Linked DNA regions of Lepisosteus oculatus. The protein of the gene in region 1 purifies or fractionates together with the protein of each later gene. This does not show direct contact. Links are inferred from orthologs where the notes say so. Each region holds a gene or a part of one and is shown in the gene's direction. Other genes may lie near its edges. The genes, in order: lin7c, dlg1a and rho guanine nucleotide exchange factor 26.

Evidence for each region.
Region 2: the proteins of lin7c (region 1) and dlg1a purify together in Homo sapiens (affinity purification with mass spectrometry; 4 studies listed by BioGRID and IntAct, counting the BioPlex papers as one, with this or other methods). This does not show direct contact. The link is inferred for Lepisosteus oculatus from reciprocal best matches to the Homo sapiens genes LIN7C and DLG1.
Region 3: the proteins of lin7c (region 1) and rho guanine nucleotide exchange factor 26 purify together in Homo sapiens (affinity purification with mass spectrometry; 3 studies listed by BioGRID and IntAct, counting the BioPlex papers as one, with this or other methods). This does not show direct contact. The link is inferred for Lepisosteus oculatus from reciprocal best matches to the Homo sapiens genes LIN7C and ARHGEF26.

Annotation. Positions count from the first base shown.
Region 1 is NC_090716.1:3,117,671-3,121,416, reverse strand, and holds the start of lin7c (protein lin-7 homolog C), read left to right. Parts: upstream 1-740; 5' UTR 741-805; coding exon 806-842; intron 843-3,304; coding exon 3,305-3,423; intron 3,424-3,746. UniProt on the Homo sapiens protein: Plays a role in establishing and maintaining the asymmetric distribution of channels and receptors at the plasma membrane of polarized cells.
Region 2 is NC_090708.1:2,036,729-2,040,474, forward strand, and holds the start of dlg1a (disks large homolog 1), read left to right. Parts: upstream 1-1,035; 5' UTR 1,036-1,807; coding exon 1,808-1,826; intron 1,827-2,221; coding exon 2,222-2,353; intron 2,354-3,746. UniProt on the Homo sapiens protein: Essential multidomain scaffolding protein required for normal development. Recruits channels, receptors and signaling molecules to discrete plasma membrane domains in polarized cells.
Region 3 is NC_090708.1:3,087,860-3,091,605, forward strand, and holds the start of rho guanine nucleotide exchange factor 26, read left to right. Parts: upstream 1-1,202; 5' UTR 1,203-1,657; intron 1,658-1,963; 5' UTR 1,964-2,056; coding exon 2,057-3,175; intron 3,176-3,554; coding exon 3,555-3,594; intron 3,595-3,746. UniProt on the Homo sapiens protein: Activates RhoG GTPase by promoting the exchange of GDP by GTP. Required for the formation of membrane ruffles during macropinocytosis. Required for the formation of cup-like structures during trans-endothelial migration of leukocytes.

The DNA of each region.
Region 1 (3,746 bases):
AACTAGACGGGTTTGCAGACGACACAAGGCTAGTAGGATTGGTTAGTAGGATAAGTAAACACTGTTGAAACAGCAATGAAAAACTATTTACTCTATTTACTGACAGGCTGAAGGAACTGAGTCTCTTTAGTCTGAAGGGAGTGTCCCACACTGACAGGCTGGAGGAACTGAGTCTCATTATTCTGAAGGGAATGTCCCACACTGACAGGTTAAAGGAACGGAGTCTGATTAGTCTGAAGGGAGTGTCCCACACTGACAGGCTGAAGGAGTTATTTCAGTTCCTAAAAGAAAAGATTACAAAGAGACCTGACAGATGTTTTCAGAACCATCAACGACATTGACATAATCAACTAAATCACTTCTTCGGAATTAACACTGGGACACAAACCAGAAGACAAGCGTGGAAACTATGTGGAAGTATATTTAAAGGCGAAAACAGGAGACACTTCTTTACACAAAGAGTGGTGGGAGTGTGCAACGAGCTACCTCGCCTTGTTATTGAAGCCGAAACATCAGCTGGATGAGATACCTGGACTGACTACAAAGAAAAGGGTTAGATGGGCAGAGTGACCTTCTCGAGTTTGTAAACTTTCAACAACGATGTCTGAGAAGTTTGCTCTCTGCTAGTTCTTTGTCAGCCCCTTCCAGCCTGTAAGGCGTCTGAAACTAAACCTTCCGGGGAGTGCCGTGCCAATACCAGGAAGTCATGTTGCCGTTTGAATGAGGCTGTGTCACATAAACCAAGGCTGTGCCGGGATTGGGCACTCGCTGGAGTACTACTGGCTTGACGGACTTCAGGCACAAAATGGCTGCGATTGGGGAACCTGTCAGGCTGGAGAGAGGTAAAAAAAAACATTACAAACAGCGAAAACAAAAAAAGGGATGTATAGCCCGGGCAACTGTGTTGTTTATTTTTTATTAACATTCTGCGGATACACTTGTTTCCCGCTGTAACATTGTTGCTGCATTTGGTTAGATCAAGCAGGGGGCTTTTGGCTGTCGTTCGAGATAGAAACGTCTGCTGGCCAGTTGCACCCGTGATAATAATGCGAGCGTGTGCTTTAGATTTAAAAAGTGTGTCTGGGGTTAACAGCGGCTTCATGGCAGTACGGTGCGTTCGCATGAACCACAGACACCACGCAGGGAGGCTCGGATCTCTCACAGGGGGCTGAGATCCCAAAATAAACGCATGTAAACACCTTTCGGTGACATGCCATCTGGATGGATCTGTTTTCTGGTTCAGAGCGTTGCTTCTCCCCTCCTTTGAACAAGTTCCGTTGCGTTGTGTGCAAATACAATCGAATTTGACGTCCGGTGTGCCAGACTGTACGCGCCTGTTCCTTTGTGTTGTTGTTGTTGTTGTTGTTTGTAATACAAACGAAACACTGTAGCGCACTGACTGCCTGGAACACCAAAACCGCAGAGCTGTGTGTGTGTGAGAGAGAGAGGTGGTGTTGCAGCCTCCTGTATAGGCAAACCTAGAGCACGCTCGAAACAATGTTTTATTTTAGCTTTGGACGGTTGTAGTAAGTGAAAGTGTCACTTCTGTTTCCCCGTGTAGTCCCCCACTGCTCGACTCTTTGTCGTTGCGCCTGGTCGGAGGGGGATTATCTCGCCGTGTGATGTCGTGTTGTTGTGTTCGCTGCTGGCGCTGAGCTTCAGGGGCCGTGCGAATGCGCTGTATACATTATTGACGTCATTTCGCGTTGCCCCTGTTTTTCTCTTCTGCCCTCGGACTAACGAGCATCATCTGGGGGAGTTTCTTGCTCGTGGCTAACTGTCTTTACTGTATATTGTAGTTCTGCAGCTGCTGATCGACTGGCTTACTTAGTACAGAAGAGTTAGGGGGAGGGTGGCAAAATTTGAGAAATTCGGAACTGTTTAATAATAATAATAATAATAATAATAATAATAATAATTCCTTATACTTATATAGCGCTTTTCTGGACACTCCACTTAAAGCTCTTTACAGGTAATGAGGATCCCCTCCACCCCACCAGTGTGCAGCCCCACCTGGATGATGCTCCAGTCCCCTCACACACACCAGCTCTCAGTGGGGAGGAGAGCAGAGTGTTGAAGCCAGTTCAGAGATGGGGGTTATTAGGAGGCCATGACTGGTAAAGGTCAGGGGGAAATTTGGCTGGGGTGACACCCCTACTCTTTTCAAAAAACACCCTGGGATTTTTAATGACCACAGAGAGTCAGGACCTCGGTTTTACATCTCATCCGACAGATGGCGGCTTTCTACACTACAATGTCCCCGTCACTATACTGGGGCATTAGGACCCACACAGACCGCAGGGTGAGCGCCCCCTACTGGCCCCACTAACACCTCTTCCAGCAGCAACCTCAGCTTTTCCAGGAGGTCATTCATCCAGGTACTGGCCAGGCTCACACCTGCTGAGCGTAACAAACAGACAATGCAGAGGTGCCACATGATGGATATTATTTATATATATAAAACAGATGTCGTTTTAATGTAATTCTAAAGAAAATACTGAAATATAAATTTTGCATATCTGCGCACACCCGGTGTGGAACTGGGACTAGTGAAGAGAGTGTTTGGGAACACCCCCACGAGAGACGGGGTCTGTGACCCGTGGGTGGACTGGGGTTGGACTGTCCGATCTGGAAGGGCCGCACTGAGCCCGTGTGATTGGTGGTTTCGACTCATGTGTGACATAGGAAAGTGGCGGTGTCACAGGTACCTGCTGAGATTGACCTTTGTGAGACTGAAACTGGCATGCAGTTCTCATGCAGTGGTCCCCCGTGAGCCAACATCAGTCTCACCTTCCTTTAAAACTAACTTCTTTCTGAAAGGCTGCTTCCTTTTCAAGTGTGTTTCACGCAGCCTAAACTACTGTGTTGTTTTGGCTCAGTAGCCTCTCCAGTGTGCGCAGTACCCTGCTAGGCGTGCCAACACCCAATATTTCAGTATTTTTTTAGAATTAAAATAAAATAACGTCTGGTTTATATCTCTAAAAAATAATTTGCGTCGTGGGGGACGACACTACATGTCTGTTAGTTTATGCGGAAACCATTTTTCTCAAATTATGCCAACCTCCCCCCCAACTGAGGCGTAAAAACTAACCCAGTCGCCACGGCACAGAAGTACTACAGTGTACAGTAAAAACATTTAGCCTGGGAAAAAAAAAAAGCGTCAACACATCTACTGCCTGCATGCAGAGGCTGGTCCCGTGCAAGTTCCTGTTGCTCCACAGGGACGTTCTGCGCAGACAGAGGCACGTGCTCGTGTGATGCCGTTGTCCTGACCTGTTTCTCCCTTCGGCCTTCGGCTCCTCAGACATCTCCCGGGCCATCGAGCTCCTGGATAAACTGCAGCGGACCGGAGAGGTGCCGCCCCAGAAGCTGCAGGCCCTGCAGAGGGTGCTGCAGAGCGAGTTCTGCAACGCTGTGAGAGAGGTAAGGAGATCGAGGGTCTGGAGCCCCTTAGCCGCTGTGTCAAACTGAGGATGGGCCCATGCTGGCACCCAGGTTTCGGTTGTAGGGAGGGATATCTCCGTCCCAAGCAACTGCCTTGTTGGCTTTGATAAAAAAAACGGTGTGTTTTATTATTCGGTCTCAGAGTGGCAGTGCAGCGTTTGGCAAAAGATTATGTTGTTTGGAAAAATTAAGTAAAGAGGCCACAAACCTGTCAGGTTCCAGTTACAGTAGGGTCTCAACATTGGTCAAATTTGCATGATGTGCTGCACTGTATCGGTTTATAGTAAGTATGGTTAAAAGAC
Region 2 (3,746 bases), on another chromosome or scaffold:
GTGGCTGATTCTCTCATTGGGGAGACCTTCACCCGGGCTCGGGCATGTGTCTTGTCACATCGGGCCCCAGAAGTAATTACTCTAAAGTCAGTGCTGGGGTCTCCAGAGCGGGAGGGGGTGCACGCATCAAGCGCGGCCGCCTCTGAGGCTCCCCGGCTGCACCGACTCAGGTGAACCAGCGTCTCGGCAGCCGGTTCCTTCGGCACGCTGACAGCACACCTGGGCACACCTGGGAGATCTCGCACGACGAGGAGCGAGATACACTCCGAATTCACCCCCGGAGCCCTGGCCGCTCCTCGCACAGGTCCACCCGAAGGCGCCTGCGATCGCCCGGCCTCACCTGGGCGCGCGTATGCCCGCCCTCCTCCTTGCAGATTATCGGAAGCTGCTCTCCGCGAACTCATTAAACACGGAGATTACAACCTTGTTGCTCTGTGCGGCGGGGGGGGGGGGGAGTTGTAGTCGGGAGGGCGAAAGAAGTAGGTTAATCTCAAGAGAAACCCCGGTTCGCGATCGCGTCGCGCAAATCTCACCCCCTCCCTCATTCCAGGGCGCTCAAGGCGGGCTGGGTTGGCCGAGACAGAAGGAACTCATTTCCTCCGCCTCCATCCCGGGGTGAACAGACGGAGATGAAGTGACAGAAGCACGCAGCACGCACAGAAAAGGGGGAAAAAAAAGCTCTTGCGATCTGGAATTTTGTTTTTCCTCCCAGATAACGTGCACGTCTCTTTCCGCGTTCTGGGTTGCGGCGCTTTGTGCTGTGTGCTCTTGACGCGTCTATCTGTTCGGGGCTCAGCTGCGGACAGGTGTCTGCTGCAGGGCATCCTCGCGTCGCGCCTTTAAGAAACTCTCGAGTCTCACCTTTCCCCTCCTACTCCCCCCCGCCGCGTGCCAAGGTAGCCCCGTGCCGGCTCTCACTCCTGATTGGCCGGGCGGGGGTAGGGAGGGCGGTCACGTGACGGTGTTTCCAGCCGCCGGCCGCCATTTTGGAGGAAAGTTTGGAATTTCGGGCACAGAAGGGGGGGAGAGAGAGAGAGAGATACTAAAAGAGGGTGGGGAGGAAGAGAGAGAGAGAACAAGACGGGGAGAAGTTCGGTTTGAGAGAGAGAAGAAGAAGAAGAAGTAGTAGTAGTAGTAGTATTGGAGCTGACAACGGATTTGCCGGATCGAGGCGGGGGAGCGAGTTCAGACAAGTACTCCCCAAGAAAAACGCCGAGCAACCCGGCGGAAGGGGGTGGATGAGTGGGAGACGGCGCGAAGGATCGGATTCAACTTTGCTTCTGTCAGACAGCGGGGCTTGGGTGTGATTTGTGGCCGGGGTGTGGAGAGGGGAGTTGCAGGTCCTCCGCCCCAGCGTTAACCCCCCGAGTGTCCGCGGACGCGAGTGCTGGGCTGGGGGAGGTACGCACCGCCTAACTCCGCTCCTGGCTGGCTGACCCGACTGCGCAGGGGGGGCTGGATTTCCCCCCCTTCTCCTTCTTTTCGCGTGGTGCCAAAGTTTCAGGAAACTCCCCGACCCAGGATTGCACGCTCCCGTGTGCCTCCCCTGCAGCTCGCCCGCTGCCCAGAGTTTGCCGTTCCGGGCGCTGAACGAGGGGACCCCCACCCGTGTCCGTGTCCGGGTCCGGCGCGGAGCTCTTCAGAAACCCGAGACGCGAGGTGCGCAGGGCTCACCGGGGCTTCATGCGAGCCCGGATAAACTCTGCTCCTGGGAAGGGCGCTCGGCTGCACCGGAGGATTGCTTTTCTTGGGAGATTTTAATTCCTGGGTTTTCGCTGGGCTCCGCTCCGCAGCGCCGGAACTGAACATGCCAGTCAGGAAGAAAGGTGAGCCTCGCATCCCTCTGGGGGTGTAGGTACCCCACACCCCCGCGTCCTGTCTCTCGAGTAATGGAGTTTGCATGGGGGCAGAGCAGTGTGCGTGTGGAAGCTGAGAAGCCCGTGTTAATGTAAAACTAAACCGCACACACACACACCACAAAACTTGCTTTACTGAAACTTGCTCCAGGATCTCTGTGCGGGTCGAGTTGGGCAGGCGAGTGCACGGGTTGCTTCTGGGGGGCTGCAGAGGGTTTCGGCAGCAACTGGGGGGGACTGAAAAAGTGAAATCGCTGCGATGGGCTGTTGTCTTTTTTTTTTAACCTGTTAGAGGGGCAGCCCGTGTGTGTGTTTGTGTGCGTACGTTGTCCGGCGAGCTAACGGAAAGTGTGGTGTCCGCGCAGATGCACAGCGAGCGCTGCAGCTGCTGGAGCAGTACCGGGAGAAGCTGAGCCAGACCGAGGACCGCCAGCTCCGCCACTCCATCGAGAGGGTCATCACCATCTTTCAGAGCAACCTCTTCCAGGCCCTCATAGGTACGGCCGTGCCAGCGCCTCTGTTCCTCTGAATGAGCTCCCCTCTTCCCTTTCTGTTGCGCCCCGGGTCCCAGAAACACGGTGACGGTGGCCTGCATGCGAGAGTCCGGCCGGTAGATTCGCAAACAGAGGCTTCGGTTGGAGCTGACTGCTGACTCGACTCCCTCTTGGGGCTGTTGTGATCCTGCAGGCTGGGACCTCTGCTCTCTGTTCATTCCCAAAATTTGGTGTCATTTTGTGTGGTGTTGCACGGCTTGCTGTTTGCAATGCTGTGCTCAGCTCCGTGGGAATTTTGTTTATTTTTTTTGCCCTGGCAGTACAGTATTAAAAGCAGTGAGTCCTGCGTAAGATGGGACAGGTCGCCGTGTTGCAGGCTGCAGGTGTGCTGCACCCCGGGCAGCCTGTTGCTGGTCCTCCAACGCGGCCAGGTGTTGCTCAGGTGTAACTTCCCAGGCAGCAGGAGGGGACGTGGTTGTGAATCACTCCTACAGCTCCACTGCATCGCGCCCCCGAGTTCCCTAGAAATACTATCGGGAATACTGGAACTTCTCTTTTCTTCAACTAGCAAGTTGTGGAGTAGAATTAAAATCGGTGGTGGAGCCAAAAACCAAGATGAGCAGCAGAACGTGTCAAGTTCTTAAGATGGCTTTAAGCATTTGTAGTCTTAAGAACACATTTGGAGTAGATGCTCTGAGGGTTAAGGCCATAGCACCCTAGTTTTCTTTGTGTCGTAAATGTAAGAAACTTCTGCAGACTAAACCGAGAAGGCCTGTAGGGAACAGCCTGTGTGACTGTCGTGCGTGACTGTCCCCAGCTCGGTGCCGTTTGCTGCCAGCGCCTGGCTCTGTGGTTTTAACCCAGGAGCGGATTCCAGTGGATTCCCGCTCGGATATTTCAGCGTTCCGGCATTCCTCTAGGATGGAGTCAGTCCTGCAGGCCTTCACACGGTGCCGTTAAGTTTCCTTCCTGATGCTCCCGCCACTCCTTTCGGTCCGTTTCCTGCAGCTGTAATTGCACGCGCCTCGGAGACGCACGCTCCCAGCGACGGACAGAGCAACCAGAAGGGGCTCCTGGCCCAAGGTTCTTAACCAGCAGGAGCCCTCCTTTCCTCTCTGCCACACAGCCAGTGAAAAACAGGGCGGTTTCTAGAGCCCGGCAGATTTCTCGTGGCTGTGTGAAGTCACGCCTCTGTTGGCCAAGGACAAGTGTTCTCCCGTTCTGCCTTCATCCACCTCTTTGGGTCAGTCAGGGAACCTTTGCCACGCTCACAGAATTAAATATTGGTGTCAGATATTCAGCTGTATTCAGACTGGCCCTCGCCAGCTTTCTTAAGTCATGTAAGGATTTAGTTAGGAATTTAATTCTCTATCCAGGGTCCTAGTGTGCACGCTAA
Region 3 (3,746 bases), on another chromosome or scaffold:
TTGTATTGTTTTTGCTTCTGTTAAATAGATGTATCATTGTTAGTAGTACATGTTACTACTAGTACAGTAGTACAAAACTGAACTGAATGCTGTTTGCACTATTTGAAGATAGCGGAGCATTGTGCCAATTCAAAATATGCGGAGTGTTCATTTACAGTCCAACAGGAACAAAACCAAGAAATCGATGACAGGGCTTGTCAGATATCATATAGTATTAATCATCAGTACACTCAAATTGAAACAGCTTATAACTTATAACATACAATCCTTAAAATCTCATCAGCGCCTATTGGTGTATTCTACCAAAGCGTCAGGTTGCAAGTTTTAAAACGTGAACATCTGTTGAACCAGCTGTGCGTTCCTGAGCTGAACTCCGGCAGGTTTGTAACGCTGCAATTGGCGCTGTTGGGTCTCATTTAACCCGGCCTGTTAAAGGCTGCCATTTTTTCTAAAGCCCATAATACACTCAGGAGTTGGCCTTAATACGTCGTTTTAGGCGAGGAACGCAATAGGTAATGCCCTTATATAACATAAAACCTGGGGAAAACAATTGAATTAAAGAAGTCAGACTGACTCGGGGGTAAATAAAGGGGTCTGTGTGGGAATCAGTGTCTGCGGTAGACAAAAAAAAGTTTTTGTGTGGTTCGTTCGTCAATCACTTCTGAAATGCCATTATTAGCATTTTTATTATTAGGTCTATTTGTTTTGACAACCGCGAGAGCTATGATTCGTTGTTTTTGCTTTGATTATTATTTAAACTTATGTTAAATTGCTTTAATTACCTTTCTCGAGAACTGCCCCCCCTTTTAAAAGCATGTTGTCCGAATTTAAGACGGCCACAGAATTACGCTACGTTACCTCCTGTAGTTGTGACACAAATGTTGCCTCGCATGGTCGCACAGGCGATCAAGTTCTCGTGTCTGATAAGCTTTTTGTGTAGAAATACCTAAAATGGAACAATTAAACCTCTTTATACCATGGCGTATAAGTTCCCAGAAATGATTGCTTTTTTTTTCTTATAAGAAAACCCCCCGAAGAAAACCGCTTTTGTTGTGACGATTTGTGAATTTAAGAGTCTGGAGACTAAAAGAGTCTGCAGGTTTACAGTACTTTCTGTGTGATGTCTAGTACGGCCGTTAGGTGACGCTTGACGCCTAGAACTTGTTCTGAAACACGGACACTTGGAAAACTTCAACTTTTGTTCCACTGTGCTTTAGACTTCGCTGGCGTGACGCTGGGCTGTAACTCTGGACGTAGACGTTATCTGTTGTGATTAGTTCTGGTGTGGGCTGTTTAATTGCACTTCATGTCGTTGAGTTCGCTGGTCTCCGTGTACTGTACACTGCGGTGCTTGAACTTGGTTGGATACCGCGTCTCCTCCTCCTCCTCGTTTTCTTGCGGTCTCATTTTCTCATTGCTCTCCCAGTAGTGCGTAGGGTTCAAGAGGGAGCGAGGAGCAAAGCCGGTGAATCTAGCAGAAAGGGGCTGCTCGTCACCCGGTATTTGTGAAATCGCGCACTGCATCCAGGATTTGCAAAGCTAAATCAGACAAGGTCCGGATCACGCAAAGATCGGAAAGTGGGATTGGACGCGTACAGTAGTTCGGGACAGAGCAGTGAACAAAATGACGCGATTGCGCAGCAAAACAAACAGCAAGGTAAGTACTGTACATGCAGCTGGATTTCTTGTCTTTTTAATGATTAACCTCTACTCCGCTAAGGAACTGCTTTCGCAGTTCTAGAAAATAATTGGAACTTAAGTTATCTCGTTTCCTTTTGCTACCCATCGCGCGTTAAACGTCTGTTTGATCAACACTTTGGTTTTTCTAGCCTTATGTATGTATTTTTTTTCTAGTCGCCTTAGTGCACGATCCGATGTGAAGTTCTGCAAAGATCAGTGATGAAACAGAAAGGGCGGCGCAAGTAGTGTTTAATCATTTTTTTTCCAAAATCATTTCTGCCAGGCGCTGCAGCACGTATCGGAGGAGTTGTAATGTGAGCGCCTTTCCTTATGCGATTCCCTGAGACTCACTGTCCTCTCCCGGGAATAACGCGCCATGGAAGCGGGGAACGAGGTGGACTTATCCAACAATAATATCGCCCCTCTGTGGAAGAGGAGATCTGCAAGCCAGAATGGTTCAAGGGACCACGGCAAAGCCAAGCCCAGGCCTCTGAGCTACCAGATCGACGGGGTCCTGATGACGGATTTCCCAGTGGAGGACCCGTGTTCCTTTACCCTGACGCAGCCGGCAGAAAACATCCCGTCTCCAGGAGGCGCGGTGGTCTTGAAACACGTGCTGAACAGACCCACCCGCAAGGCGCGAGTGGTCAGGAGCATCAGCATCGGCCACCTGTCCAATGGCAAGCTTGCGCTGCCCAAACGCAAGGCGGAGGTGGACAGGCGGGCGGGGAGCTGGGCCCCTGGAGCTGCGGGCGCCGCCGAGAGCGGGGGGGCCCGGCCCGGCTGTCAGGAGAAGAGCCCCTCCTGCCAGAAAACAAAGGCACCCCAGAAGCGGCTGTCCAGCCCCGTGACGCTGACGTCACAGAGGGACCAGATCGTCTTCAGTTCGAGCCCGGGCCCCCCGCCGGTCAGGAAGGACACCGCCGCGCCCAGCGCCAGCCCCAGCCCCAGCGCCAGCCTCGCAGCCCCGTCTTGCTGCCCGCCCGGGTCTCCTGAGAAAGAGGGGGACCGCTCCCCTGTGTCTCCTCCCGGGGAGAGGCAGGTGCTCCACAGGGCGTCCTCCGGAGCTGCCCAGGACTCTCCCACGTCTCCTGCCGTAGTCCTGAGCACCCACAGCCCCGCGGCTCTCAAGATGGGGACGCAGCAGCTTATCCCCAAGGGGCTGGCGTCGGAGGTCAAGCTGGCCAAGGGCCACAGCCACAGCCTGCTGGAGCCCACCAAGCGGGCGCTGCGGGCCCTCAGCCTGGTGGAGATGGGCTCGGGGGCCCTCTTCGGCGTGGGAGACGCGGACGGGGGGGGCGACCCGGACCTCGAGAGCCCCGGCACCCTCAGGCGGGGGCTGAGGTCCACCTCCTACAGGCGTGCAGTGGTCAGCGGCATCGACGCGGACGCCGGGGCCCCCGCCAGTCCGCTGAGGGCCAACCACCTGTCGCAGCCCAACCTGAGAGCCGTGGAGGAAGACAAGGAGAGATTCTCCACGCTGGGAAAGGGAAAAGTAGGTCCACCGTGTTGTTCATGGAATCCCGAGTGGTGTCAGAGGGCTGTTTTAGACCACGTCTTCTTTAAGAAAATAAAGAGAAGCATATTTATCCTTATTAGCATTCGTTGTACATATGAATTTACATATGAGGTTTAAATTTCCTTTGGAACTGGGTGCAAACTGGCACTGGTAGTTGATTTAAAGTTCGAGTACACTTCTGTGACCAAATGATAGTAGGAAAATTGGTCTGTTCGGCTAACTGACAAAATAGCATTTATGCAGTAAGCCCAATGAACCAGTGAAAACCTAAGGATAAAATGAAAAGTTATACTGAAATCCACGACATGCCTTACAATAAACCCATCCTATTGATCTTTTTCCATGTTCCCAAAAGAAGAAGGGGCTGCCAACACAGGGAACTTTCGACAGTGAAGGTAAGCAGAGCCGTCTGATCTTTTCACTGGCATGTGGGATTGGAAGTTCCTGAGCTCAGGTGCTCACTCCTAAGCAGGGAGATCTGGGGCTTTCTGCTAGTTTCCAGTTTCACGCTGTCTTCATCCCTGCCATGACCTGAAGCACAATCTTG